Linked DNA regions of Cricetulus griseus. The main gene of each other region encodes a partner of the protein of the gene in region 3 in a complex. Links are inferred from orthologs where the notes say so. Each region holds a gene or a part of one and is shown on either strand. Other genes may lie near its edges. The genes, in order: Taf11, Gtf2h3, Tbp, Taf8 and Taf1c.

Region 1 (6,186 bases), on a different chromosome or scaffold from region 3:
AGTTATCTGCAATGAGCCCATGTTATTGCAACCACAAAATCAAGTTTTTTTGAAGAAAATGATGATTTTGATGTATAATTACTGATGGGGAAACACTGACCAAATTAAGTTATATTTTAAACATTTTGAAACAAATAACATTTACACATTTATTTTGTGTTTATAGGAACATGCCTGTGTTTGGAGGTCACAGGACAGTTTCCAGGAACTGGCTCTGTCCTTCCACCTCCTGGGTTCCCAGGAGCAAACTCGGGTCATTAGGCTTGGAGGCAAGCACCTTTATCCTGCAGCTTGCTGGCCTGCAATTATATCCAGGCATAGTGAGTGGCTCATGCCTGTAATCTCAGCACTAAGGAGGCCGAGGCGGAGGACCAGGAGGTGAAGACTAATGTAAAGCTCATGAGACCCTGCCTCAGAGCACACAAAAAGCAGTAAGAGTGAGTGCAGAGCTGACGGGCTTAGAGATGGAACCCTTGAAGACTCACTGCATCTTTTGGATCTCATCTTCGTCTACCTTCTGCTTCTTCTCTCTCTTCTCTTTGGTGTCCAGTTTCAGCTTTTTGGCTGCAGGAGTAAGTAATGACGAGTCTTCCCTCTCAACTGCTGTTAAATCTGAGACATCCTGACTCTTGAGCTGGGAAGATGGACAGAAACTTATTACATATTTGGCACACTTTTCGGGCTTGGGTGAAGTCAGGCCCCCTCTCTCTTTCCACAGCAGCAAATCTGTTTCTACAGGAGCTGTCTGGTTCTGGGCACCATTAATTAAGAGGCTGCCGTCTGTTTCCTAAAGGAAGAATATAGCTCAACTGAAGAAGAAAAGGAATAATCCAGTTTTCTACATGAGCCATAATCACATAGAGGTCCTCCATCTGTTTACCAAGTAAGGGGAAAACACCAAGGAGCCAAATCGCCACTCCCCCACCCTCACCCTACAGGTGTCAGCAAAGTTATCCATCCAGCAGCATCTGCGTCTTGGGAGCACCACCCTGTGCTGTGTTCTGACCCTTCCTCTACTGGATCATAAGATACTACCTCTCCCATTACTAGACTAGAAACCTTTTTTTAAAATTTGGCTGTCCTCCAGGCTGACCTCCTAGAAATCCACCTACCTCTGCCTCCCAACTGTTGGGATTAAAGGCCTCTGCTGCCACTCCCAGTTTGGAAACTTTTTTTCTTTTGTAATTTAAGACATCTCATTTTGTAGCTTAGACTGGTGGTCCAACACTCCCCAGTCTCCAGATTGTGGAAATTGTCCTGCCTCAACCTCTTTGCTGGGATTGCCACCATACTGAGTTTAAATTGAAACTGAGCGATGGCTCGGAGGTTAAGAAAGAGCATTGGCTGCTCTTGCAGGAGCCAGGTTTGATGACCAGCACTCACATGACACCTCACAGTCATCTGTAACTCGTTTCAGGGGATCTGATGCCTCCTGACTTCCACAGGGACCAGGCACATACATGGCAAACATCCATACACAAAGGCAAAACATCCATACAATAACAATTTTTAAAAGCCCAAATTTAAAATTATTAGGTGCATTCATGCATACTGTGTGTAGACTTGCAAGTGTGGAGTTGGTTCTCTTGTATCTTTATGTAGGTTTCGGGGATTGAATTCCAGTTCCCAGGGTTTCGTGGCAAGCACCTTTACCTGCTGAGCCGTTTTGCCTGCCCTACTATAAAATCTGTTTGAAGATGTTTATTATTTACATTTCTCTCCAAATAAGCACTCAAAAGTTACTCCTAACAGGTGTATGTCATGACAAGCTTATTATGGAATCATAATACATCAAAACTCACTTGTGAGATTTAATGGTTCCTTTAGAAAGAGATTCATATTTAAACTCATTCAGAAATTGGGAGAGGGAGAGTGAAGGCATTATGTATTTGCCAATCCTTTCAACTTCTTTTTAGCTACTGATCTATACACATTTTCTAACCTGTGTGCCTCAAATTTTCAAATTTATTTGCCCTTAACTTTCCTCCTTTCTCCTCTTCCCCCCTCTCGATGTCTGTCTGTCTGTCTCTCTCTCTCTCTCTCTCTCTCTCTCTCTCTCTCTCTCTCTCTCTCTCTCTCTCTCTCTCTCGAGCTGGGATAGAAGCAGGTCTCATTTTGTAGCTCATTAAGCCTTGTAATGTATTTTGTCTACTTCAGCTTAAATTTTTTTCTGAAAAGGTTTTTTTATTTTTTTATTTTTTGGCGGTGGCGGTGGGGGGTTCGAGACAGGGTTTCTCTGTGTAGCTTTGGAGCCTATCCTGGAACTCACTCTGGAGACCAGGCTGGCCTCGAACTCAGAGATCCGCCTGCCTCTGTCTCCCGAGTGCTGGGACTAAAGGCGTGCGCCACCAACGCCCGGTTCTGAAAACAGTTTTGCTGCTCATCTGTGACAGGAGGGTCACAAGCTCAGGGCCAGGCCGTGTTAGGGAGACGCCCCTCATAAAGACAAAAAGCAAAATCCTATAAAGTTTTGCTACATTTTCTTCTTCCTGAAAGTTATTACGTCAGGCATTTTGAGGCAGTTACGGTTAGAAAGCCCATTTCCACCTTAGCTACTGTTCACCCCGTGATCTTTCAAAGCCAGCCCCAGCTCTCAAACTCCGACATTTTTTGCCTGCAGAAAAGGACGCTGAGGGTCGAGGAGGCAACGACGCTTGGCCTTTGGAGAGGCACAGCCGGCGGTTTTAACGAGGCCCCGGGACCCCTGGGGCTTAGCGTGCAAGGCTGGGGCTCGGTGCACCGCCCGTGCCCGTCCTCGCCCCGGCCCCGGCCCCGGCCCGCAGGGCTGCAGCAGGCGCGCGCCCACCTCGCTCTCGGCCGCCGCTCTCCGGCTCGCCTCTGCATCTCCGTCGGTCTCCTCCGGGCCCCCCTCGGGGCCGGCGGCCGCCGGGACTCCAGGAGCAGCCCTCGTCTCCTCCGACTCCGCCGGCTCTCCGCCTCTGTCCGAGGGCGACTCCGCAGGGTTGTCCATCGCGGCGGGAGGGGAGCGAGACGACCGGCCCTACCGTGGAACCCGGGCTGACGGCTTGTCGTCGCGCCTCGATGACGTCACCCACGGCGCCTCGGAGGGGTCCGTTCCAGAAGCGCGCGGCTGGCCCTGGGGAGCCACTTAGGCAGCATTTGTTGTGACGAGAAAGAAACTTAAGAGCGCGCGTCCGCAGCTTCAGGGAAGGAGCGGCTGTGGACGAGCGTACGTTCGTTGGCTGAGAGACTTGTTTCTCTCGTCCTTTATGGAAACGCCCTGCCCGTCAGTCCCTCCTCGACCTGACTCGGGGTGACAAGGCAGTGAGCCCCGGGCTTGCCGGCGTCAAAGCCGCACTGCCGCCCTGGACTGCAGAGCCCGCGGGCCGCCTGGGGTCACACGTGGCCCCTCTTCTGAGCCCGGCGCGGAAGCGGCTGCGGATTCGTCCCCGCTCGCCCGCGTACGGGGCTTCGGCTGCATGCACGCCTGCGCACGGCGCCCTGGGAGGCCAGCGGAGGGGCTACAGCGGAGCCGCCGCCGCTCCGGCCCAACTGCGGTCCTCCCGCCCGGGGGCGCCGTTCCCGCGGCTGCCTCCGGGTCTCCGCGCCTGTTCCCAAGTTCACCTACGAGTCTTGGCGCGCGCGCTACCAAGTTTCCCCTGTGTCCCGCAGCGCGGGAGCCGCACGAGCGCGCATCTCCCACCTGCGCCACGGGCGCGCGCGCTGGGCGGGGACGGCGCCGGGCGCCGTCACCTGCGCGCCGGCGCGGGGCCCCGCCCACTAGGTGGGCAAGGAGGCGGGGCCGGTGACGCGTGACGCCGGATCCCGGAAGTGACGCGCCGCGGGGAGGGGGCGGCGGCGGCGGAGGAGGCGGGGGAGAGGGGGTGGCGTCCCCGGCCGGGTTGAGGGGTGCGTTGCCCGGAGACGGAAAGTTTGGGAGCCGCCGCGGGCTCTGCGTGGCCCCGGGCGGGGGTCGGAGGAGCGGCGGCCCTGGGGATGGGGAAGGAGCAGGAGCTGCTGGAGGCGGCCCGCACCGGGCACCTCCCGGCCGTGGAGAAGCTGCTGTCCGGGAAGCGGCTCTCCTCCGGCTTCGGCGGCGGCGGCGGCTCCGGCTCCGGCGGCGGCGCGCTCCGGGGGCGGCGGCGGCCTCGGCTCCTCCAGCCACCCGCTCTCCAGTCTGCTGAGGTGAGTGTGCGCGCGCGGCGCGGCGCGGAGCGGAGCCCCGACGGCGCGGGCTCCCGCGGGAGGTGGCGGCTCTCGGCTGAGGCGCGCGCGGGCGGCCGGGCTCTGGCTCGCGCGCGCGTCGCGGCTGCGGCTGCGGCTGCGGAGAATGGGGGAGTGCCCCGGTGGCAGCCCGCGCGCGCCGCACGGCACGGCACAGCCCGGCGGCGTCACCCTCGCCCGCCCGCCCGCCCGCCGTGGGTGCCAGCTGTCGCCTCTCACAAAAGCCACTTCAGAGCAGACCGAGTTCGCGGAATCCCTCTCATATCGTGCAGGAACTCCCACGCCGCGCAGAGCCTCGCGGCACCCCCCCCCCCAGCCGGTTCGCCTCATTTCCTTCTCTCAGGAACTTGGAACGCTCCACCGGGCTGTGCGGGACCCGGCTTTTGTTTGTTTTTAAAATTGCTCCTGCATGGATCGCGCACGAGGTGCTCAGGCTTTGAGCCTCTCTGGTGCCTGAAGCTCAAATTTGACGTCAGATTCCTTGTAGTCACTCTCGATGGGCTGGCTGGTCCAAGTGGCATATGCTCACCCCCGCCCCCCCCCCCCCCCGGGACTTAACTCGGTGAGAAATCAGGGTTTGGAAAGGCTTGTTAGGAAACTGAGGTGCGTTCAACTTTCTGAGATCTGTTAGACACTTGAATCCGGGGCTGCAAGGCTTGGGGAGGGGGGGGCACTCTTTGTCGCTCACAAGGGGGATTGGAATGCTTTGTCAGAGTGTATAAAATGTGTTGGTTCAGCAGCGCTTTCGTGGCTGTTTTCTTTTCCTTCCTTGTTCTTTTGAGGTTTTTAAGAAGTGGAAGTTCATTTAGAAGTGGCTTCGTTAGCTTCTGCTCCCTGTTAGTTTATGTACCTTCAGTTTGAGTGAGCTTGGAGAGCTTGGACCGAAGAAACCCAAGGCTCTAACAATCAGTCCGGTATTCAGTACAGAGTAGCAACCTTCATCTTTTCAGGAAGACTTTACAAAGCACTCCAGAAGAACCCTGCCCTTTGGGGAAGCAAAACCCCGTTCTGTTGGCTGCAATTTCCCCTGTCCCTTGAACAATACTGGTTCATAGTAGGCACTCAAGATTTGTTGAATAGATAAAAGCACTCATTGGAAGAATGATCATTTTGTGTGTGTGCCTGATGGAGGCTAGAAGTTGATATTGGGTGTCTTCTTCAATTGCTGTCCATCTTCTTTCTTTAAGTCTGTGTCCCTCACCAAACCTGGAGTTTGCTAATTGCGCTATACTGGCTGGTCAGCAAGTCCCAGGGATTCCCCCTGCCTCTGCCTTCCCAGTACTAGGATCACCCTCACATACAGCCCTGTTGCCTTTCTGCCTTTTTTCTTTCCTTCCTCTAAACATGACTGGTAGGGTCCAAATCCAGGGGCTCCTGTTTGCTGAACAAGGTCTTTATGGCCTGACCCATCCCCTGAGGGGAGCAACCATCTCTAAATAAATCAGTGGTGGTCTTCACTGTTAGTGGTTGGTACTTGAGAGTACAGACTTCTCTTTGGGATAGGTTGGAAGTCAGAACCTCAGGGGAAGGTGTACTTAGGCTGACTTTGATCGCTCTTGTGTAGTGAGAAGGTTCCAGGTAAGCACACTGTGCTCAGAGGCACAGAAAGGAGACTTAACTGGTGCTTGTGGGTTACTCAGGGCACTTCCTGCTTGGGATCCTGAGTGTTGGGCCACTTAAAGGAAAGTAAGAACGGATGGATACACTGTTGCCTCTCATATTGACAACAGTGTTCCTCACACTTAGTTCTTAGTTCTCAGTTCCTGTGTCCGTGCCTGGAGACAGAGTCTCAGTCTATTGCTGTGATCAAACACCAGGACCAAAGGCAGCTTGAGGAAGAAAAAGTTTATTTAATGGCTTACATTTACACGTTGCAGTCCATCACTGAAGGAAGTCAGGGCAGAAACTCACACAGGACAGGAACCTGGAGGCAGGAGCTGATGCAGAGGCCATGGAGGGGTGCTGCTTTCTGGCTTGCTTATCATGACTTGCTTAGCCTGC
Region 2 (6,052 bases), on a different chromosome or scaffold from region 3:
AAACTGTCAAAGACCTAGAAAGCAGCCTCCCACAGCAGAGCACTGGCTCCTACCTTTCCTGAATGTGACTGGCTATCACAGCCAGCTGGTTGGAGCGGTGCATGAACAGATGGGAATTTGCCAGCACCATCACAGCATCCATGCACTTGGATAAAGTAAACTGACAAACACGAGAAAAACAAGTCAGCTCCTGCAGAAAACGTCACTGAAAAACCAATTATTTATTACTTAGTTTTATTTACTTATATACTGTGGTGTGTTTAAGAAAGGGTCTTCCCCTGGGTGCCCTGATGCTCACTGAATAGCAACAAATGTCCAACAATTCATCTGTCTCTATCTCCCCATGTCACGACATGTATCACTGTGTTCGGATAGTCCTGACATCAGACACAATGATTCAACACTAAAAATTTCCTCAGCTTCACCTCTCCTAAAACCTGGAGCACAACGCCTGAGGGGAGGCGTTCTGACTTTAATGACACAAATCATTTATAGGTTAGAACATTATTTTTCAAATACTGGCATTACATGTAATGCCAGTAACCTAGGAAACCTTGAACTTAGGAGACAGAGGCAACTGGACCAGAAGTTCAAGGTCATCCTCAGGCTGTACAGCATGCTAAGGCCAGCCTGAGTTTCTGCATTGAAAAAAAAATAATAAAAGCACAATCAAGCCAGGAGGTGCGCACACCTTTAATCCCAGCACTCGGGAGGCAGAGGCAGTCGGATCTCTGTGAGTTCAAGACCAGTCTGATCTACAAGAGCAAGTTCCAAGACAGCCTCCAAAGCCACAGAGAAACCAAAAAAAGCACAGTTTTGTTTGTTTTAATACATAAACCGTGTTTCATCAAAATTTAAAACTTGGGTCAATGAGATGGCTCAGCAAATATAAGAACTTTGATGCCTGGGACCCACTTGGTGAGAAGAGCGAACTAACTCGAGACCTCTACAAGCACCCAAATATCCATACATATACACAAAAAATAAATGTAAAAAAAAAAAAAAAAAAAAAAAAAAAAAAAAAAAAAAAAAAAGACCTTGTCCAAAGACAAGGTCTGATGGGTTACCTCAATGGTTAAAGGCACTTCCCACAAGTCTGATGACCCAAGTTCAAGCCCCAGAGCCCACATGATTAAAGCAAAGAACAGACACCCAAAAGTTGTTCACTGACCCCCATATAAGTGCTGTGGCACACCGTAACCCCCACCCCATGTAAATATATAACAAAAGATGCCCACTCATACAATAGATATATCAACTGCTTAGAGAAGCAAAATAGCCAGGAGGCAACCAATGGCTGCCTGAACATGTAGGATGGAAGCAGGAATGATGGTCCACAGGTTTGAGAACTTCATGTGTGTCCTGAGAAGGAACTGTGGGGGCTGGTTATACAACTCCCTGGTCTGTACAGTACAACTGGTGGCTTTTACACACCCACAGCTTTCCTTTCTTGAGAGTGTATCCAGCAGCCCAGATGGCCAGAGATGAGCTTGACCTCCGGTGATCTGCCTGCCTCCACTTGAGTGCTAGGACTGGACGAGGGCCTCCACACCCAGCTTGTAAACACTCAATACTGCTTGCAGGGTAGTGGGTGGCATACAGACATACTGAAGTTAAGGAGAATCATTGGAAGGCTCAAGCCATCTTACCTGAGATCCCTTTAATGCTTGCTTTCCCCACCAAATCGGGTTGGTGTCAACTATGATAACCAGAAGATTCAACTCATCTTCTGCTAACAGGAACAAGAGCAACATTTTAAAATGTCAGCCTCATGAAACTGAAATACAGATAACATTCCTGAGGGTCAATCAATCACCCAGAGGCCTTCAAATGGTTATCATCCTCTGATGGATCATGAGCTCACCGAAAGGGCCAAGTTCCCTTAAAGGTTAAGGGCTGAGGACACAGCTAAATGATAGTGTGCTTGCCCTCTACTGGGGAAGTCCTTGGTTTGATAGCTGGTACCTCTTTAAAAAAAAAATAGGGCCTGGCGGTGGTGGCACTCTTGAGGCAAAGGCAGGTGGATCTCTGTGAGTCCAAGACCAGCCTGGTCTACAAGAGCTAGTTCCAGGACAGCTAGGGCTGTTACACAGAGAAACTTTGTCTCAAAAAACAAAAAACTGTTCAGACTGGCCTTGAACTTGGTAACCTCCTACCTCTTTAAGTATCTGGGATTACAGGCATCTGGCACCACACCCAGCCAAGAGCATACACTTCCAAAGGACAAAGCAATCCTGCCAGTGCCTGTTATCACGAAAAGCCTGGGTGCTCATGTAATAGCACAAGGCAGTGTTCACTTTACTGCCTCCTACCTTCCTTCCTGCATCCCCTGCTCCTTCTTAAGAATCACCCTGCACCTCTGGTTTCTGCAGAACTAAATCCTACTTGCTCTTACTTCCTTTCTAGTACCAAGTAGCTTGAGAAAGAAAACAATGGGTTGCCTGTCAGAAACGTGCACATGAAACACCTCTGCCAATTTCCTTCAGCCTGTGCCTCATTGGCTAAGAAGCCATGGCAGGCCTGCCTTTCTCACAGAGGTGGGAGTAACAGCTATGGTTGCTGAATGCACCTCTCTAATTACTCTTGCCCCCCACAATCCATTCTTCACACAGGAGTCAAAGTGATGCTTCTAATGTTATCCATCTAGATAATTCTGGGCCAGCGAGAGGGCTCAGCTGGTAAAGGCGACTGCTGACAAGCCTGAATGAGTTCAATCCCTGAGACCTAAACAATCAATAAGAGAACTATTCCCACAAGTTGTCCTCTGATTTCCATGAGCATGCTCGAGTGCACACACACACACTAATACTAAATCAGTAAATGCAAGAATCATTGGGAGGAAATGTAATTTAAAAGCTGTAACTAGTAGCTTAGAGTATGAATAAGAGCCTCCCACCTCCCTCTATCCTCCAACTGCCCAGTTTACTCTTCTAGGTTTAACCTCCCAGGATGTCTGTACTTTAAATGAACTTCATAATGTCGCTCAAGCCACAGTTGTAGTGTCTCCATCTTTCCTGAACTCCTAACGAAAGATAGTCCTCTTGAACTTAGTTGCCACACATCTGTCTTCATAGCCCTGGTGGCCTCTTGGAAGTAATTTCACCTGCCAATTGCCTCTCTCGACCCTAAGACACTACACACTCAAAACTTTCCTGTGTTGAGTTCTGTGCTGTAGTCTCCAGTTTGGAAAATAGTGTCCAGTACACAGGGGGCAATCCCATTATTCGCTGAATGACACACTGGGCATGCTAATGCGGGCCTGTAATCCCAGAACTCGGAAGGCTAAGGCAGGTTGAGCGAGCGTCTATATAAAAAATAATTAGGGCTGGGGATGTGGCTCAATTGGTAGAATGCCCATTGAGAATGCACAAAGGTCTGAGCACCACGTAAAATCGAGCTTGATCGGGCACGCCTGTAATTCCCTGCACTCCAAAGCAGACTGGAGGATCAAGAGTTCAAGGCCATCCTTCAGCGAGTTCTACGTGACACCCTGTCTCAAAAATGAAATCGCTGAGTGAATGGACGAATACACTGGCTGCTCGTCTAAAGACCAAACGCGTCCCTCCCAGCCATGCTCCGCGTTCCGGTCCGTGCCACCCTCACCGTCAGCAGCCATGGCGCCCCTAAGCCTCGGAGAAAAGCCGCCCACGGTTCGACGCGCGCACGACAACTTCCGGCGCTGGTGAGTGACGTAAGCCTCAAGCTGGCGGCAACGGAAATGATGCGTGAAGAGCGCGACACACTGTCAACCTGTGGCTTGCTGCCGGCGCGGTTGCGGGCTGCGGGAGGGAGCGATGGAGGACCACGGTGAGTGGGTGGCCGGAGCGGCGGGGACACACGGGTAGTCCGGGCTCGATCCGCTTCCTGCTGTCACTGCTCTTTGTGCCGTGGTCTGGGCCTCTCGGACGCTCGCAAACTGACTTCCCCACACGCTGTCCGAGCGTCCACTTCCAAAGTAACAGTGTGCAGGCCTCCGCAGCTCTGGTGTCCAGAAGGAAGACGCGTTTCCCTACTGGAAGATAGAAGGCATCTTTGGTTTGCTTGCCCATCATGGTTCTCAGAATGTTTTTGTTAAGTGAAAAAGCAAACGAATACACTGATTTTAACGAAAAAGTGAAGTAGGTAGAACTGTAAGCATTTTTACAATTGTGTTTATGCACATGAGTTAACGATTGTAGACTGCTCAAAGGCCTGCAGGAGAAAATAATAACGGGGCTGTGAGGATTCCCTAGACTACTAGCCCCTGGACTTGGTCTCTAAGTTCTCTGCCTTGCACACCAATAGCTTGTTTAAAATATGAAAGAGGTCTGTCCCTGCCAACAGTACGGAATCTTCTCTATCCCCGTCATTGTTTAATGTGCCCTGTAACTTTAAAAGCTACTTTAAAAAAAAAAACCTTTTTGCTTCTTATTCTTGAGGTCAGCAGTTGTTACAAAGTGCCCTAGCCTCATCTTGCTAAGTTCTTGTGATAACCCATTTTTTTCCTCTCTTCCTAGAGTTAATTGAATACTTCAAGTCTCAGATGAAAGGCGATCCTAACATGGCCTCAGCTGTAGCTGCCATCCGCACTTTGCTGGAGTTCTTGAAGAGAGACAAAGGTATAAAGAGTCAGCCTTGAATGGTCTGGGCCTTAGGACAGTCTTCAGATGACTTGTAGGAACGTGGACAGGGAGACATGCATGTTTGCCTACAGTCTCAAGCTCAGCTTCTGTCTCCATGTTCGCCCTTTCAGTCTGGAGGGAGCCCTCAGGCTGTCACTTAAAGGATTCCCATCCACCTACAAAATACACTGGGAGTCAAGAGTCAACAATACAGCCCTAGCCAAAAGGCTTAAATTATAGCAGTAATTTAGCTTTATAGATGAGAACCAAGCTCCTAGCTTGACCTAGATTCTGTGCAAATGCCATAGAGAATGTTCAGAACAATTCTGGTGTTTCTGGGCTATAGTGGTGCCTCACTTCATCATTGCAGGGGAGACACTCCAGGGCCTGAGAGCGAATCTCACCAGTGCCATAGAAACCCTATGTAGTGTGGACTCCTCCGTGGCCGTGTCGTCTGGTGGAGAGCTCTTCCTTCGATTCATCAGTCTTACCTCCCTGGAGTACTCTGTAAGCCCCCCCCCCCCCCCGGAGGCCCTTCTACTTCTCTGTCTACAGATCCTGTCAGCTTTCCTGGGATCTCCCCCCTTCATTTTGCTCTTTTCTCCCCAGGATTACTCCAAATGTAAGAAGATCATGATTGAGAGAGGGGAGCTTTTCCTCAGGAGAATATCCTTGTCAAGGAACAAAATTGCGGACCTATGCCATACCTTCATCAAAGATGGGGCGGTGAGTAGATGGCCCCCTTGTGCTGATAGAATCAAAAGCTTTGGAGTCAGGGTGCTGGGCCTGAAATCCTGACTGTGCCACCATGGACAAGACACTTCTCTGTCCTGCAGTTTTCTTGTCTGTTAATAAGGACAACAGCAGCTGACAGGTTTGGTGAGGCACAAATGAGATGCAAAGTGTAGGCAGTGCTCTGTAAACACAGGTACTATAGAGGCCAGTTACCATGAATAGGAGAAGAACATGGGACCAACATAGATGAGTCTTGAGTTTAATTTTTTTTCCGTTTTGTGGAGGTGGAGATGAAAACAAGGGCCTCAAGCATGCTAGACATGCTGTACCACTGGACTATAACCATAGCTTCTTCCTTAGTAAGCTATTTTTCTAAGAAGTATTTTTAATTACATTTATTTCTTTATTAGGTGTTTGTGTGGGTATGCACAGGTGCCACAGTGAGTGTGTGGAGGTCAGAGGAGTTGGCTCTGGGGATCAAACTTGGGTCATTGGGGTTATGTTAATGACAAATACCTTTACTGACAGAGCCATTTCACCACTCTAAAGAAGTGTTTTTATAGCCAGGCAGTGGTGGCACACACCTTTAATCCCAGCACTTAGGAGATAGAGGCAGGTGGATCTCCGGGAGTTTGAGGATCAAAGCTCCACCAAGAAAGCCTGTCTCAGAAAACCAAAAAGAAAAAAGAAAAAAAAAAAAAAGATGTTTTTATGAT
Region 3 (5,503 bases):
AAATGGTTCTTCAGATTCTCCTCCAGTATACACAGAGGAAGTGCATGCATACACACAAAATCCATCATTATCCACTTGGGTCTAAAAGACTGTTTCATGCCATTGTATCATATTCTCAAAAGCATTCTATGCAATACAGGGTTTCAGTGTAGCCCTGGCTGTCCTGGAAGTCAGTCTGTAGACCAGGCTGGCTTTGAACTCACAGAGATCCCCCTGCCTCTGGTGCCCAAGTGCATGCTCTGTAGATATGGAAATAAGTGCATGCCATAAGCTGGTTCCAACAGATGATTTTAATCACAAGAACAAACCAGAATGCCCGTGGAGGTCAAAATGGCATGAAAAATTAGTTTGAAGCAGCACAGACAAAGGAGAGCTAACAGGGCTTGATGGGGTTGTCCTTCCGTGTGTATGTTCTCTTATTGGTTGATGAATTAAAAAACACTGTGTGGCTAGTGGCCAGGCTGGAAGGATAGGCGGGGCTATGAAAGGAGAATTCTGGGAAGGGTAGACAGACAGGAATCACCATGTAGCTGCTGAAATGAGAAACAGGTCTGGATATTCTCTAGTAAGTCTAGACCACGTGGAAATACTTAGATTAATAGAAATGGATAAATAATTAAGACAGAACTAGCCAATAGGAAGCCCAAGTCACTGGCCAATAGTTTTATAATTAATATAAGGTCTGTGTGTTTATTTGGAACTCAAGGGCAATCAGACAGCTGTGGAACCAGACTGGTGGGAAAGAACTTTCTGTAACAAGGGCTTGTCTCTCTAAAATATTAAAATCAAAAGTAATTTTAAAATTGCATACAGGCAAGGTATAAGTTTTTGGGTATAGTAGTCGAGGTTCATGATTATATACCACTTAGATTAAAAAATGATCTGGCAACCGGGCGTTGGTGGTGTACACCTTTAATCCCAGCACTTGGGAGGCAGAGGCAGGCAGATCTCTTGAGAGTTCAAGGCCAGCCTGGTCTCCAGAGCGAGTGCCAGGATAGGCTCCAAAGCTACACAGAGAAACCCTGTCTCGGAAAAAAAAAAAAAAAGAAAAGAAAAAGAAAAAATGATCTGGCATGGCTTACAAATGACAATTATATATGTAAAAGGAAAGTCATGTGTAAATAAGAAACATCTGAAAGTAGGAAGATCGGGTTAATAAACACAAACTGAATAGTGTGTTGTCATCTGCAATGAACCCTTTAATCAGGACATAAGCTTCCTTAAAGTAAAGCTGCATACTTCTTACTAAGGAGTATCTAGATTTGGTTGTTTCAGAAGAAAGAAAAAAGCCTGTATCTCCTACCTTTTCACACGTGGGAACTACTTCACTTAGGCAGAAAAATGTATCAAGACAAGAACTGCTATCCTCACTTTGAAAGAGAGACACAAATTCCAAAGATAAAATATAGCCCTCACAGCGAAATTGTAGAAAAATCTGGACTTAAGAACTCTGCTAACATTATGGCCAAGCCTGTGAAAACAACTGCACTGTGACTCAGCCAATTAGCTACAGGGAAATGTCCACAGTATTGATGAAACTCAGTTTTCATTTCAGTGACTCAAACACATAAACACAAGCAATTCCATTTCTAAGGAAAGGTTTTGTTGAGAGCATTGACTGTAGCTTCAATTCCTTGCCAAAAGCCGAGGAAGCTGCAGTGTAACAGAATTACCACTGGGTCACTTCCTTAAGTAAGACTGAAAGCAAATAGTGTAATACCACTGAAAGCTTCCTCTGGTGCAGAGGACAAGGAAAACACACACACACACACACACACACACACACACACACACACACACACACACACACACACACACACACACACACACACACACACACACACACACACACACACACACGTTGGGGGAGGGGAGGAGAGGGCATGAGCAAACAAGGTAAGAGGTACTCACTGCAGCTGTGGTACGATCCCAGAGCTCTCAGAGGCTGGTGTGGCAGGAGTGATAGGGGTCATAGGGGTCATTGGTGAAGGGTACAAGGGGGTGGTGCCTGGCAATGGTGCAGTGGTCAGAGTTTGAGAATGGAAGAGCTGTGGAGTCTGGCCTGAGGCACCCTGTGTGGATTGCTGAGATGTAGATTGCTGTACTGAGGCTGCTGCAGTTGCTACAGACTGCTGCTGCTGCTGCTGTTGCTGCTGCTGCTGCTGTCTTTGTTGCTCTTCCAAAATAGACAGACTATTGGTGTTCTGAATAGGTTGTGGAGTAAGTCCAGTGCCATAAGGCATCATTGGACTAAAGATGGGAATTCCAGGAGTCATGGCACCCTGTGGAAAGCAAAAAGAGAATGCTTAAGACATTAATGTTGAGTAATACAGGTTCTTTTCCTAGTGGAACCCAGGTAAAGTGTAAAACCTGATGCTTGCTGAATATAATAGGTCATTAAATATTGGGAAGAATCTGCTATCCTGAGATGCATCCCTTTTCTTCTGTAGTACTGAATATAGTAGCTGAGCACTTTAGCATCTCTAATCTGTTATTTATGATATACAAGAAAGATGCTTAGCCTCCCAAGCATATCTAGACCATAAGGACAAATCAAAGGTACATGTCCCTTTAAAGTGCTACCCAGTATATGAGGGTTACCCTCTAGCTTAACATGTGACCATTTGGATGATGGATCACAAAGTCACCTAGAGGTTCAAGATGACAAGCTCATGGTATACTCTATGATACTTCAAAGAGCTATTTATTCTACTAAAAACAAAAATCAACAAAGCCTATAAAATACTGTTAACTGCCTTTTCTATAATGCTTCTATGTCTTACAAACATTGTTAGATTTAGTAATTATTTATGTGGAAGTAGAAAGAAAAAATGGCAAAATTTATACTAAATTAGTAACAATTTAGGTTTAATTCTATTGCAAATACACACATACATTTTACATCAAAACATGTTTAATTTTGGAAAGCAGATTTGGTTGTCATCTTGGGCTAGGAAAGTGACTGCGAGAGGGTCTAGAAGGAACCTCCTGAAGCAAATGAAATAAATGTTCTACAGTTCACAAAGATGGAACAGTCTTCTAAATAAACTCCCAAGCAAAGGGGCATTATGCCTATCCACAGCATAAATTTTCACAAAGTAAAACAAGCTTGAGAAACATACAAATCCATGTCCATTACTGGATGGTTAAATTTCACCTTCTCTGTCAGCCCTTCTTGTCCCCCCTTCCTGTTGTTACCTGTGGAGAGGCCAAGCCCTGAGCATAAGGTGGAAGGCTGTTGTTCTGGTCCATGGTTCTCACTGTCTTCAGTACTCAGACTTTTCCTAGAGCATCCTCTGCAAATTCTCTTTTGAAACTCCTTTAATTTTCTGGGTTATCTTCACACACCATGAAACAGTGATGCTGTGCTTGGGGGAAAAATGCTTTAAGTTTAAATAGGTTTCATATTCACACAAAACATACACACACAAAATCTATCCTGGAGAAATATATTTATCTTTCAATCCCAAAAGCCTATTGCTTTTGACATGACTATTTGGGCAAGAAACTGCTCTTGCCTGGACTGTTTGCCTGTATACCGTATATGGTGGACATGCAGTGCCCACAGGAAAGTGACTGCTGAACTGCTGAAACAAAATGGGACAGTCCTGCAGGGTTCCTGCTTCATGGAAATGTCTGCCAATACAGAAGGACAGTTTAAAATTTCCTGTTTCACTGAGAAGTCTGTCAGACACACTATGGCCTATGGGCCGAAGATGGATGTTCCAATGTTATAGAGGAACTTTGGGTGATTGACCAGGCAGTGAGATGTCTCTGTCAATTCTAGAGTTTATATACTATCCTTCTATGGTCTTTGATGGAGTTGAAGACAAATAGTTACAGTTACTGTTTTCCTTAGTTATGATAAAAGATAAGTTACACATAAGACTTTAGACTCACAAAGATAGGATAGATAGAATATTTTCTTTAAATCTTGCTAAATGTTAATGGACTAAATATTGTAACTATAGTTCTTACTTGATAACTGTTTTGTTATATGTAATTTTACCATGTTAAGGATAAAACCCTTTTTATTTAGAAAAGAGGAGATGATGTGGTGATGTCCTTCTGTGTATATGTTTCTCTTATTGGTTGATGAATAAACCAATAAACCTGGTTAGTGGCCAGGTAGAAAGAACTTGTTTTTGGTATGGGGGAACACCTAGAGAAAACTAATTCCTAAGCAAATTGTATTATCAGAGAATACTTTCTTAAGCAGTGTTTATACAGCACTATTAGGTCAATGCTGGTTTTTAAATATTCTCAGTTTTATACCCTTCACAATGTCTCAAGCATAAAGTGCCACAAATATTGAACTGGACACAATAAGCATATTGTGTAATCATTTTTAGCATAGGTAATCATTTTTGTGTTCCAATTTTAATTAAAGACAGATTAAACAATAAATGATACATCAATTTTATAAATACAATATTTATTCTTAACTCCTTAGAACATACTAATGAAAACTATGCCTGGAACTGGGCTTCATAAATCATCATTTTAGTGGCCATATTCAATATGCATATGGAATAAGAGACTATGTAAAGTTTTTTTTTTTTTTTTTTAAATTGGTAATGGTAGTGACAGAACATAGTCTCATAAATGCTAGGCAAATGCCCATCCCCAATTCTTTAAAGACATTTGTTTTAATCAAGTCAGTTCATGCAGACCAATAACTTGCTCAGAGATGCCCTAAGGACTGAATGAATCAACAATGGATGAACAAACTGAATGAGCTATCAATCAAGATGAATCTAATTGCGGGGCAGTGGAGGCACATACTTTTAATCCCAGCACATGGGAGGCAGAGGCAGGCAGATCTGAGTTCCAGGACAGCCAGGGCTACACAGAGAAAATGTGTATATGTATGTGGGGGGGGGAGGGAGAAGGGGGGGAGCGGGAGTGGGTGAATCTATATACACATAGTTAAGTACAGGACAGATATTATTACATTTTTAAAAAAAGGTTTTCATTTTATGTGTATGAGTATTTTGTATGCATGTATATATGCACATCACATGTGTAGTGCCTGCAGAAGTTAGAAAGGGAGTATTGGATTCCCTACAACTGGAGTTTCAGATAGTTGTGAGCTACCTACCATCTAGGTGCTGGGAACCAAACCCAGGTCCTCTATAATAGCAGTAACTCCTCTTAACCACTGAGCTATCTCCCCAGCCCAACAATCAGATCTTATTCTAAACATTTATTATCATCTAAAATTTACAAGTCTTATACTCACGACCCCTGGTCATTTTAAGTATATGCTGACACAGGCCTTCTTCTGATGTTACTAAATCAATCAAAGAATTTCATAATCTCTTTGAGAGGACAGAGGACCCAAAAGATACTCCTACAAACTCATTACTGAGAAGCACTTTTTCCTTTTGTTTTTCAAGACAGGGTTTTTCTGTGTAGTCCTGGCTGTCCTGGAACTCATTTTGTAGACCAGGCTGGCCTTTGAAATCACTGAGATGCACCTTTCTCTGACTCCCAAGTGCTG
Region 4 (5,503 bases), on a different chromosome or scaffold from region 3:
TCCTAGTGTGGGAAAAGCTGTTTCAGGATGTGTGAGGCAGGCAGAAGAGGAGAACCCACCGTGCTGATATGAAGAGCGATGTTCTCTGTGTCTGTCTGCTCATCCTGTTCTGAGGAGTCTGTCTCTTCCATCTGCTGGATCTCCAGCTCAGAGGGAAGCAAGGCTGTGAGGTAGGGGATGGTGAAAGGTCTGGCAGCAATCACTGGGAATTGGAAGAGAGACACGACTCTGTCGAGCAGCCAGAGGGAGCCAGGTATGAATGTTGCCCAGTTACCATAACCTCAAGCTAGATAATTTCCCTTTCCCACAAGCCTCTGTGTGGCAAAGCTAAGGACTGCTAACTTACAGGTCTGGATGGCTGCCTGAGGTGATGTGTGGGGAATGGCTAGCAGGCACCGAGTGGACACTCACTAAGTGAACAGACCAAGCTCCCCCATTCAACTCTGCATAACCCAAGGTCCCCTATGGAGACGAGTGACTTGGTCAACAAAGCCTAAATGAGATGTAGCCTAGAAAAGGACACTGGTAAGCAACTGGCTACAGATGCCAGCGTTCCTCCTACTACCTGGGTCACCACTTCCACAGGAGACTTTGCTGCCCAGGGCTCAGCCACCAGTGAGGTAACCTAAACTCACTGCCTTGAGCAGCCTTTCCATTTGGAGTCATCCTTTAGGAAGAGTCTCTCAGAGCTTGGAGGAAGGATCTAGAGAAGAAACTGCACTAGAGAAAAACACAAAGGCTTACTCATGTCTCCCCACCACACTGAGAGAAAGCAAAGATGGTGAGATTATCTCAAACAAAACAGGGTTCCCAGGGGGGTGACTCTCACAGGGGAAAGTGCTGACATCATCCTTGAAAAGACTCTGGGTCTCGCCTGTCTTGGCCATGAAACGGGTGAGGGCTCGCTCCACATCTCGCCTCTGAGATGCAGCCTTCTCTCGCAGGACCTGGTAGTCAGACACTGGTTCACGGTATGTCTGGAACAACAGAGACACCAGGCTGAGCCCATGCTGCATTCAGCTCTCCTCAGGCCCTGCCTTGCTGCAGCTATGTCCTGAGAACATGACCTGCTGACTAAGGTTACATGAGGAACAGCATACAAAAGAAAGAGCTCATTTCAGTACAGGAATACTCATTAAGAAAAGTGCGGCCAGGCGTTGGTGACGCACGCCTTTAATCCCAGCACTCGGGAGGCAGAGGTAGGTGGATCTCTGTGAGTTCGAGACCAGCCTGGTCTACAAGAGCTAGTTCCAGGACAGCCTCCAAAGCCACAGAGAAACCCTGTCTCGGGAAAAAAAAAAAGTGCAAATATTTACTACATAGTTGACTATGGCAGCCAGCCTGTGAGTTTGAGGCCAGCCTGGTCTACAAAGCTACACAGAGAAATCCTGTCTCAAAAACAAAAGAATTACAGAATACCATCTTGTTAGCCCATGCCCTTAATCTCAACACCTGAGAGGCAGAGGTAGGAGATCTCAGTGAGGTCAAAGCCAGTCTGGTCTAAAAAGGGAAGGAGGGAGGAAGAGGGGGGAGGGGTAATGATACATACTTGTAATCCCAGCACTTCAGAGGTAGAGGCAGGAGGACCTGAAGCCTGAAGTCATCTTTTTAACTACATACTGAGCTGGAGGCCAACCTGAGCTGTCTACGACTCTGTCTCAAAAAACACCAGTAAAAGAAGCTTCTTACATTATTTTTATTGTCAGGATTTAACATACCATATAAGAGGTATGAATACTATGAATTGATCTGTATTCCCATAAAAAAATGTTTAGATATAGTAAGCTAACTACTGGCATCTCATATGACTTTATTTGTCAACAGAGTCACCAAGATGTCATTGATTAGGAAGAGTCATGAAGTAAGGACAATGGTGTCCTTATGGGAAGACAAAATATTTAATCTGTAGAGGTGGAAAGCCAGCACCACGTGGAGGGGACAGGAAGATTGGAGCGACACATCTATAAACCAAGAAATGCTGGAGAAATGTTGACACACTAAGGCAAGGTGAACACGATTCCCTTACAGGCTTTACAGGGAATATGGCCCTGATAACACCTTGATTTTCAACTTTTGGCCCCCAGGCCTATAAAGTAATACACTTCTATTGCTCTAAGTCAGCTACTTTGTAGCACCTTATCATAGCAACCCCAGGACACTTTGAGGGACTGAAGTCCAGGGCAACTGTATCAATTCCTTCCCTGAGTCCTGTCTCTCTTAGAGACAGCATCTCACTCTGTAGCCCAGGCTGGCCTCACACTCATGGCCACCCTTCTGCCTCAGCCTTCCAAGTGGTGGGATTACAGGACTGAGCCATCATTCCCTATAACAAGATTGCTGCTCTCTAGGGAAAGTCAGAGAACTGAAAGCACTTTCATCTGCAACCTTTCCTCAGCTGGTTTACATCACTCACAGCCCCTGGGTGGCTCCACCACTCACTGGAGTTTTGATGTAGGTGTGGGGATCCGGAAACTCAGGAAAATGGCTGGGGATGTGTGGTGGGTGGGGCCGGTTCTGCCCCGCAGTGAGGGCCTTGGGTGTCACTGGCTGATTAGTCACTGGAGCTGCAACAGAATCACAACTGGTTACTTGTTCAACCCCTGAAGTCTACAGACAATAGTCCTTCTTCAGCCCCACCCCTATCTTCCCACTACACCATGACTCAGCACCTTGTATTTCTATTGATAAAAAGCCATCCATAACCTCTTCAGATCAGCATACAATGCCCGGCCTTGTCAGGTCATCTTGCTTGATATTTCAATCTGTGACATCTGCCTGTAAGCCCCTTGCATCAACAGGAGAGTGGCTGTCACCAAAGTCACTACATAGTTGAACATGCTGAAGTACAATACTCGCATTCAACGGGCTGTTAGTCTTCTTCCCAGAGAGTGAGGACACTAGGAGCAGTGTTTGGTGTAGTCTATGCTTGGCATGCACAAGGCCCTGGGGTCCAATCCCCAGCACACACACGCTGCTCAGAGACCCCAAATAACAAACACTGAGCTGGGGGAAGTGTGGGCTTAACAATTGTGGAGGGGAAGGAAGATGGCACCTTCCACTGCTTCTCTCCAATGCAGGTGGCCAGATGGTTCAGTGGGAAAAGACTTGCCACCAAGCCAATCTGCAGGACCCACATGGTGGAGGGAGACAGCTTCCACCAACTTTTCCTCTAGATGGCCACATGCACACCATGGCATGTGCGTGCACACACATAATAAACAGATTTAATATCTAACATGATGCCAATGCAAAAAAGTGACTTTAAGAAACAAATACAGTGGGGCTGGAGAGATGGCTCAGTGGTTAAGAGCACTGACTGCTCTTCCAGAGGTCCTGAGTTCAATTCCCAGCAACCACATGGTGGCTCACAACCATCTGTTATGAGATCTGGTGCCTCTTCTGGTGTGCAGATATACATGGAAGCAGAATGTTGTATACATAATAAATAAATAAAATTTTAAAAAAGAAAGAAAGAAAGAAACACAGCAGTACCCCCAAGTCCTAAAGACTAAAGCAGTTACTCCTTACTTTAAGGGACCTAGTTATCCTAAAGAGTAAACTTTTTACATAAGGGGATACATGATACATATTTTAGACTTTTGTTTGCTTGTTTCTTAGTCATAGTCCTGCCTATGTATCCCACAAGTGCTAGGATTACAAGAGTAGCCAGTAAGCAGTGGCAGTTCAGATTATGCAAGCCACAAAACCCTGCCTTTATAACATGAAAGCAATCACAGACAAATAAATACAACTGCATGCCAATAAAATTATATTTACAAAAGCAAGCATTGGACTACATTTACCAACCCTGATCTAAAGGAGCAAGAACTTTCATAGTCTTCCTGTATCGTTGCTTGCTTTTCAGGGTTAAAGTACAAGGGCAGTGGTTCAGAGTAGCTTAGAATCCTCCTGTCCAGATAAAACCAGGCTGTGGGTAGCTAACCCACCCCAAAGACTGGAAGGGAGCTTGCAAAGAGCCAACAGCTGCCACTCTGATGCCTGCCCTATTCTCCAACCGAGTCCCACCATAATCACTGTATACTTACTAAGTCCCTGGGTTCAAAGCCACTTACGTGCAGTGATGACCATTCTCTGAGACCGTTTAGCATATGCAGGAAGAGTGTCCACATTGAACCCTAGGGACAAGAAAGCCAATCACTGCGTAGGTCATTGGATACTGAACATGAAAAGCGAAGTTAACAGTGTGAAAAGGGCTGGGCATTGGTGGCGCATGCCTTTAATCCCAGCACTCAGGAGGCAGAGGCAGGAGGATCTCTGTGAGTTCGAAGTCAGCCAGGTCTATAGAGCAAGTTCCAGAACAGGCACCAAAGCAATACAGAGAAACCATGTCTGGGGAGGGGGGGAGAAAAAAGGAAAAGAAAAAGTGAGAAAAGGGGGCTTAAACTCCCAACTGAGCCACTATTCTGCCTCTCAAAAGAAGATCCAGCAGAGCTCCCCAAAAAGGACTCAGGGGGTCTCCAAGATGGGCTCAAAGGATTCTTTCCTCTTAACTTTCTAAACTAAAAGCAAATCAAGGAAAACACGAAGGAATCCATGAGCACTCAGCAGACACCCCAACCCCCAGGCCTCCCTCCCTGCCTAGGGATCCTAACTCAGAGCACTGGATGCTGGAGATGCACTCACCCATTTCAACCAGCGTGACCACGATATCCGACAATGTGGGCTGGGTCCTGGCTGTGTGCTCGCAGTAAGACTTGGCACTTCTCCCGATTTCCGAGATGTCTACAAGAGTCAAAGGCCACGGTTCCTCCAAATTCAATATAGGATTACCAGGTGAGCCAGCAGTTTTGCTCTACATATATAGCTAATGACTAAAGTCAGGGCTCAAACAGGCACTTGTGCACCTCACACACAGCAGCCCAAATTCACAACAATCAGAAAGTGGGAAAGAAACTGACAAATGGACGAATAAACCAACTGGGGTATACACATAAAATGGAGCATTTTCTTTCTTTCTTTCTTTATTGGTTTTTTGAGACAGGGTTTCTCTGTATAGCTTTGGAGCCTATCCTGGCACTCTCTCTGGAGATCTCTCTCTGGAGACCAGGCTGGCCTCGAACTCAGAGATCCGCCTGCCTCTGCCTCTCGAGTGCTGGGATTAAAGGCGTGCACCACCAATGCCCAGCTTCTTTGTTTATTTTTAGACAGGTTCTCAAACTCTATATGTAGCAGAAACTAAATTTGAACTCCTGATATTGCTGCCTCCACCTCCTAAGGGCTAGGATTACAGGTGTGCCCACCCTATCCAACTCTACAATGGAGTAAGTAGTCAGTCTTCAAAAGGAATGACATTCTTCAAAAGGAATGGAATCTATAACATGGATAAACTTTGAAACATTATATTAATGAGATAAGCCAGGCACAAATGATAAATATTTTCAGATTCCATTTATCTGAAGTACAGAGAAAAAGCAAAGCCAAAGTCAGTGATTTAGGTCAATGGTAAGGTACTTCCTACCAATGACCTGAGTTCCATCCCTGG
Region 5 (5,951 bases), on a different chromosome or scaffold from region 3:
TGGGATGGATTCTTGTCACCCGTCTTAACTCTTCCCCTGGACCACTCTGTGGATGGCCTCAGGATCCCCACCACATGAGAAAGGATACTCAGCTTGTCCAAGGCACCTCCACTAGGGTAGACCAGTTGTCCAGCCCGTGCTGTCCTTCCAGGAAGCCAGGCCAAGGCACCCCCGGTGAAGGCCTCATCCAGCAGCAACTGCTCCCACCGCATAGCCAGCTCTTCATGCAGCAGCCTCCCCAAAAGCAATGACACTGAACTGCTCAGGACAGGACCCCCAAGGATGGAGAAGCGACGTAGTCGGTGGCTAAGGAAAGCCCAAGGACACCTAGGGACAATGCAGCAGAGGATGGTACTGGGACAGTGAAGGATAAGCAGTCTCTTTGACAACTCCCTAGAAAACACCCTACCCAGTTCCTGGACCCCATACCCTGAATATTTCAGGACCTCCTAGTGAGTGGGCCACAGAGAGCTGGGAGGATCCAGCCAGACCAACCAGTCTTTTCTAGGATTTGTGATACTTTGGATACTAACTCCTTGGAATAATCCTGTTGCTACTTGAATTAAGTCAGACAGAAGGAAGTGGATGAGAAAAGAGAGCCCTGTAAACATTCTGAAAACCTGGATGAGCTGTAACTAAGATCAACCAATGACCGATTCTTTTTTCCCTTAAGCTGCTTGAAGCTGGGTTTTGTGGACTCGTGGCTCATGACTTTGGGCTGGGTTAGAAAAGCCACTGTGATGAAAACCTGGTCTGTGTCCTAGATCCTTCTACATCCCACCACCAGCCAGGCCTATCCATGGCTGCTTTCTCACTGGCTACTTGCCCCCAGGGCTGGTGTCCACCGAGGTCCTGAAGCAGCCTCTTCGCGCTGACTATGGTCATCTTTTTCGAGTAGCCCTGCAGGGAAGGTCTGTCAGGTTTGCACCCCTGGGTCTCACCAGAGAGGTGGCTGACCCTTCACCCCATGGCACTTACTCACCTTGTTCCCCTCCAATCTGAAGTTCTCCAGCATGAGCCTCCCCAGGGGTGTGAAGGCTATGTCCCCATGGTCCCACAGGAAGCGGCTGAGCTGTGGGGAATGGTTGTGTCACTCAGCACAGCCCAGGCTGTGCAGCACAATCCCACCCAGGGACCACTTACCTGCTCAGTGACATCCAGCCCAACCTGAGGCCGGAACTGGTAGCGGTGACCTCCCCGGAAAAGGAGGTCCCGAGGGGTCATGCCAGGTTCCCAGGGATCTAAGGGGAGAGAGAGGTCAAAGAAGAACCTGAGAAGGCAGCATGGAAACACAGTGATATATGGAGGTATCCAGGATCTGGAATGTATGTGTGTCTGATGGCTGAGGTCCTTGGAGGGAACCCAGAAGGAGACCCTTACCAGGACCAGGAGGCAGCAGGGGGAGGGGTCCTGGTGTTGTTGGCTCCCACAGCAGGTTCTTGGCCAATGGCAATGTCCCATCCTAGGGGAACAGGACAGCAATAACATGGCAGGGGTGCACTCTTTGACTAAAACTCATTCAGTCCTCATGACAGCTCTGCAAAGTTGGTCACTTCACTGATGTAGAAACTGAAGCAGCCGGGTGGTGGTGGCGTACGCCTTTAATCCCAGCACTGGGGGGGGGGCGGGGGCAAAGGCAGTCGGATCTCTGAGTTTGAGACCAGCCTGGTCTACAAGAGCTAACAAGTTCCAGGCCAGGCTCCAAAGCCACAGAAAAACTCTGCCTTGGAACCCCCCGCAAAAAGAAAGAAACTGAAGCATAAGTTTGCTGTCATTTGCCCCAGGTAAGAGTCAGGAAAGAAGGCAGGGACTTAAACCCAGGCAGCCAACTCCAGAATCTGTATCCTAAAGTCCATTCACACCAGCTTCCACACCCATGCCTTGTCTGTGCACCCAGAACCCAATGAGCTAACTCAAGGTCCAAGAACACCCCCTCCTTCAACACCCCCTCTTTGACCCACTCTCCTGTATGTTGATAAGGGCGGTCCTTCTGTGTATATGTTTGTCTTATTGGTTGGTAAATAAAACACAATTGGCCAATAGGAAAGCAAGATAGGCAGGACTAGGAGAGGAGGAGGATTCTGGAAAAGAGGAGTCGCCATGTGATCCCCCAGGAAGAGAGGACAAGCATAAGGCCGGCATCCTTGGTAAGATATGTCCTTATAAAAATAGAGATTGGTAGTTATGGTTGATAATTAAGACTGAGCTAGCAGATAAGAAATCCCAGTCATTGGCTAGCAGCATTGTAACTAATATAAGACTCTGTGTGTTATTTGGGGGCCCTAAAAGGCAGCAGAACTCAGGCAGCTGGTGGAAAGAGATATCGTTACAGTATGTACTCAATTCCACAAGGCAGCTGGGCAGCTAACGAAGTCCCAACCAAGATGCCAGCAGAAATCCTGCCCCCTTTCCCTGCCATTCCACTGTTCCAGTAGAACCAAGGCCACACTACACAGTGTCTGCCTGTTGGTACAAACTCTCCCACCTTAACTGGCAGTCCCCAAGGTGGGGTTGCCTAACTTCCTCATGCTGGACTATTGGGCCTGTAAGGACCCTGGCACAGAAACACTAGTCAGTAAATACCAGCTGAATCTAGGGAGAGAAGGAGGAAAGAGGAGCCACAGCCTCTGTTGATCGACTCTCTCTGGGTAGCAGCGTGGCCTGTGCACAGCAGGAGTAGCATCTGCCTAGCCCTGTCTATCATCTGTGCCACTGAGTCTTAATGATAAGAGGGGGACCAAAGGAAGTGCCCTATTTCCATCCTCACCTTGCAGTTCTGTGGCTGGGACCCTGGCATGGTCAGTGCATCTCTCCAGCTGCACATGAAGGACAGGTCAGGACCATCAGTCATGCCAAGAGGCCCAGCCATAAATAACGAGGGGCGCAGAGAGCTGGGGAAGTCCATCCTGGAGAAAATGCATCTAATGTCACACACATCTTCATTAGGAGTCTGAACAGTGCTACAAAGTCTACTACAAAGAAACAGGTAAAAACCAGACTATGCAGCCTAATGCCAGAGAGTAAGAAGGGCCTCTAGAGAACTGCTCACTCCCCCATCACAGGGGAGGTTGCTGATGGGCAGGTGAGGGGTCCCTACGGGTACTCAGGGAGACAGATAGCTCAGCACACATTTGGGTAGAGGGTCCAGGGGGAATGAGTGCGTGCAAAGGCTCTGAGGATCGAATAAAAGTAGGAACTCTCTAGAACAGCGGTTTTCAACCCTCTAGCACAAGGGCCACCTAAGACCATCGGAAAACACAGATATTTACATTATCATTCATAACAGGCTAAATTACAGTTATGAAGTAGCAACGAAAACAATTTTATTGTTGGAGGTCACTACAACTGTATTAAAGGGTCGCAGGCAACATTAGAGAGGCTAAGAACCACTGCTCTAGAAGCATTAGGGAGTAATCAGCCCACAGTTTAGAAAATTTAAATTGAACAACAGCACCCGCTGAGCACTACCACCAGCTGGATGCGGCATAAAGGTCCTGAATTTGAGGATCTGAGGAATCGGTGTGTGGTTAACTTGCTCACATGTGTGCCAGAGGGGAGACCCGGTCCCGAGACCGCCCGCCCTCATTGCAAGCGTCCCAGACCAGCCTCAGTGCTGGAACCCGCCTGCCCCTGGTTTCTGTAGCCTCGCGGCACCGCCACGTGCTCACATCATCCCCGCGCGCAGACCATGCTGGCTCCCGGCGGCAGTCTCACCTGATCCGGGGCCCAAAAAGGAGCCGGAGCGCCACTCATCAACTCTTCAGCTCAGAACTCGTGAGCATCCACAGCCGGACTGAACTGTTTTCCGGACCAGGCCGGAAGTGCTCCCGAGAAACAGGAAATCCCGCCCTCAGCAAGGCCTCACTGCGTTCTCCGGCGCTACCTGCCGGGCAGACAAGGAATAGGCGTGGTCGTGGCGCCTGAGGCGTGGAATTCCCATCCCGGTGTTGGATGATCCTGCTCTGCTTCATTAACTAACTATCTCACCGACCACCTCCGATGGGCCACGCACTGTATTTATTGTCCATAAATCCTAGGAATCCGCTTTTCATATGACCCTGGGCTCATGCGTGGCTTAAATCAGGGGCCAGGAAGGAGTATTAGGCTGTAGTCTTCAAACTCCAGCTTGCACCTGCGTGCTTTGGGAGACTTTCAAACTCAGAAGCAGCGAGTCGTGGGGGCTGCCTGCAAGTTGCTTTTGTCTTGTGCCTTTCACGTGAAACTTAGGATGTGTGGTTCTGCGGACCCACTAGGAAGCTAAGAATGTCTTCAGACAGATTTTTTTTTTTTTTTTTTTTGTGGTGCACACCTTTAATCCCAGCACTCAGGATACAGAGGCAGGTGGATCTTTGAGTTTGAGGCAAGCCTAGTCTACAGAGTGAGTTCCAGGACAGCCAAGGTTACACAGAGAAACCCTATGGGGGGGTGGGGGGGAGAAAGAAAAGAAACACAGGTTGTCCCGGGTGGTGGTGGTGCACGCCTTTAAACCAGCACTAGGGAGGCAGACAGGTGGATCTCTGTGAGTTCAAAGCTAGCCTGGTCTGCCCAGCAATAGCCAAAGTTGTATGGTGAGAACCTTGTCTCAAAAGAGAGGGAGGGAGGAAGGAAGGAAGGAAGAAAAAGAAAGAAAGAAAGACAGATCCTTATGTAACTTCAAGGTGAAGAACTTGGGGTCACAGAGAAAAACTTTCTTCCTATCAACACCTGGGAACTCAGAGCAAGAGTGGGTCCAATGCTAGCAGGGGAGGAATGAGCCTATTCACACCAGGGAGACAGAGGTCTAAGACCTGCATAGCTGAGACCCTACCTGAAAACTTCAGATAGAATTTTGAGACCTAAAATAGATGCTCCTGCTTCGCTATAACCTACCTACATGATGTTCCCTCCAATGTATTTGAAAACTGTTTTTGGGTTATGATTTCCTTTGTTCTGGAACTAGCAAAACTTCGCTAATCTGTCTCCTCCATGTAGCAGATTATCCAGGGAACTCTAAATCTGTGTTTCTGGGTGTTAGTCAGGGTTCTCTATCAGAACAGATGGATGAATATAGAATAGAGATTTTATTAGACTGGCTTACAGCTGTGATCTGGGTAGTCCAACAATAGCTGTCCATGACCCAAAAGGTGATGTTCAGTACATGAGGCTGGATGTCTTAGCAGTCCCTGTCTGGTGCTAGAGTCCTGTATGATTCCTGAAGAGCTATTGACTGTCTTTGTTAAAATTATAAAGAAGTTGGTTCGAATTTTGGTAAAGGAATGCTTCAGCAATGGCATAAATAAATAAATGGTCTTGCCAGAAAGAGTAAGGGCAAGTAGGAAAAAAAAAATCAAAGTTTTTTCACACCCTTTTAACTGGACTACCACCAGAAGGTGTGGCCCAGATTTAGGGTGGGTCTTCCTTCTTCAAATAATTAAGAAAATCCCTCACAGGGGCCCAGCAGTTTAGGTCCCAATTAATTCCAAATGTTCAGTTGACAATCAATTTAGCCATCCTGTGTGGGCATGCTCATTCATGTTTAGCTGAAGAGTAAACTATCTTCTATTCTCTAATCATAGAGAGGAGGGCTGTTCTTAAGTCAACATATTTCTCATTCCCAGGCAATACAGGATTTCCCTGCATGTGACTTTAGCACCACTGTCCAGTCAGAAATAGCAACATTATTCTTGTGGCTTGATAGCTTAAGAATACACCAGCGCCGCCTGGAGGAGGCATGTTAAAGCAGTTTGCCTGGCCCACTTGAGCTTCTAATTTAGTGGGTCTGGGATAACACAGCTGACCCATAGCTAACACTCTGAGAAACACAGCTTTAACAGATCAATTTTCACCTGGTAGTGTTGGTGCACGCCTTTAATCCCAGCAATGACATTTGAGTTTGACTCCAGCCTGGTCTACAGAGTCAGTTAGGGCAGCAGCCAGGGCTGTACAAAGAAACCCTGTCTCAAACAACAAAA

The links.
Region 1: Tbp (region 3) and Taf11 share a complex: the UniProt entries of both Homo sapiens proteins name them as parts of the TFIID basal transcription factor complex. The link is inferred for Cricetulus griseus from reciprocal best matches to the Homo sapiens genes TBP and TAF11.
Region 2: Tbp (region 3) and Gtf2h3 share a complex: the UniProt entries of both Homo sapiens proteins name them as parts of the TFIID-containing RNA polymerase II pre-initiation complex. The link is inferred for Cricetulus griseus from reciprocal best matches to the Homo sapiens genes TBP and GTF2H3.
Region 4: Tbp (region 3) and Taf8 share a complex: the UniProt entries of both Homo sapiens proteins name them as parts of the TFIID basal transcription factor complex. The link is inferred for Cricetulus griseus from reciprocal best matches to the Homo sapiens genes TBP and TAF8.
Region 5: Tbp (region 3) and Taf1c share a complex: the UniProt entries of both Homo sapiens proteins name them as parts of the transcription factor SL1/TIF-IB complex. The link is inferred for Cricetulus griseus from reciprocal best matches to the Homo sapiens genes TBP and TAF1C.

Annotation. Positions count from the first base shown.
Region 1 is NW_023276806.1:233,026,613-233,032,798, forward strand, and holds the start of Taf11 (transcription initiation factor TFIID subunit 11), read right to left. Parts: upstream 3,689-6,186; 5' UTR 2,972-3,688; coding exon 2,807-2,971; intron 635-2,806; coding exon 486-634; intron 1-485. UniProt on the Homo sapiens protein: The TFIID basal transcription factor complex plays a major role in the initiation of RNA polymerase II (Pol II)-dependent transcription.
Region 2 is NC_048597.1:104,284,921-104,290,972, reverse strand, and holds the start of Gtf2h3 (general transcription factor IIH subunit 3), read right to left. Parts: upstream 3,737-6,052; 5' UTR 3,617-3,736; coding exon 3,604-3,616; intron 1,733-3,603; coding exon 1,650-1,732; intron 161-1,649; coding exon 54-160; intron 1-53. Other genes in the region: Eif2b1 (translation initiation factor eIF-2B subunit alpha), read left to right, coding at 3,795-3,807, 4,497-4,598, 4,972-5,108, 5,211-5,327. UniProt on the Homo sapiens protein: Component of the general transcription and DNA repair factor IIH (TFIIH) core complex, which is involved in general and transcription-coupled nucleotide excision repair (NER) of damaged DNA and, when complexed to CAK, in RNA transcription by RNA polymerase II.
Region 3 is NC_048595.1:294,444,701-294,450,203, reverse strand, and holds part of Tbp (TATA-box-binding protein), read right to left. Parts: intron 3,369-5,503; exon of another isoform or gene 3,364-3,368; 5' UTR 3,253-3,363; coding exon 3,199-3,252; intron 2,283-3,198; coding exon 1,912-2,282; intron 1-1,911. UniProt on the Homo sapiens protein: The TFIID basal transcription factor complex plays a major role in the initiation of RNA polymerase II (Pol II)-dependent transcription.
Region 4 is NW_023276806.1:256,849,611-256,855,113, forward strand, and holds part of Taf8 (transcription initiation factor TFIID subunit 8), read right to left. Parts: intron 4,744-5,503; coding exon 4,645-4,743; intron 4,137-4,644; coding exon 4,074-4,136; intron 2,565-4,073; coding exon 2,440-2,564; intron 978-2,439; coding exon 830-977; intron 203-829; coding exon 60-202; intron 1-59. UniProt on the Homo sapiens protein: The TFIID basal transcription factor complex plays a major role in the initiation of RNA polymerase II (Pol II)-dependent transcription.
Region 5 is NC_048596.1:196,236,568-196,242,518, forward strand, and holds the start of Taf1c (TATA box-binding protein-associated factor RNA polymerase I subunit C), read right to left. Parts: upstream 3,823-5,951; 5' UTR 3,754-3,822; coding exon of another isoform or gene 3,715-3,753; intron 2,922-3,714; exon of another isoform or gene 2,907-2,921; 5' UTR 2,906-2,906; coding exon 2,768-2,905; intron 1,463-2,767; coding exon 1,381-1,462; intron 1,242-1,380; coding exon 1,144-1,241; intron 1,073-1,143; coding exon 983-1,072; intron 901-982; coding exon 827-900; intron 328-826; coding exon 89-327; intron 1-88. UniProt on the Homo sapiens protein: Component of the transcription factor SL1/TIF-IB complex, which is involved in the assembly of the PIC (pre-initiation complex) during RNA polymerase I-dependent transcription.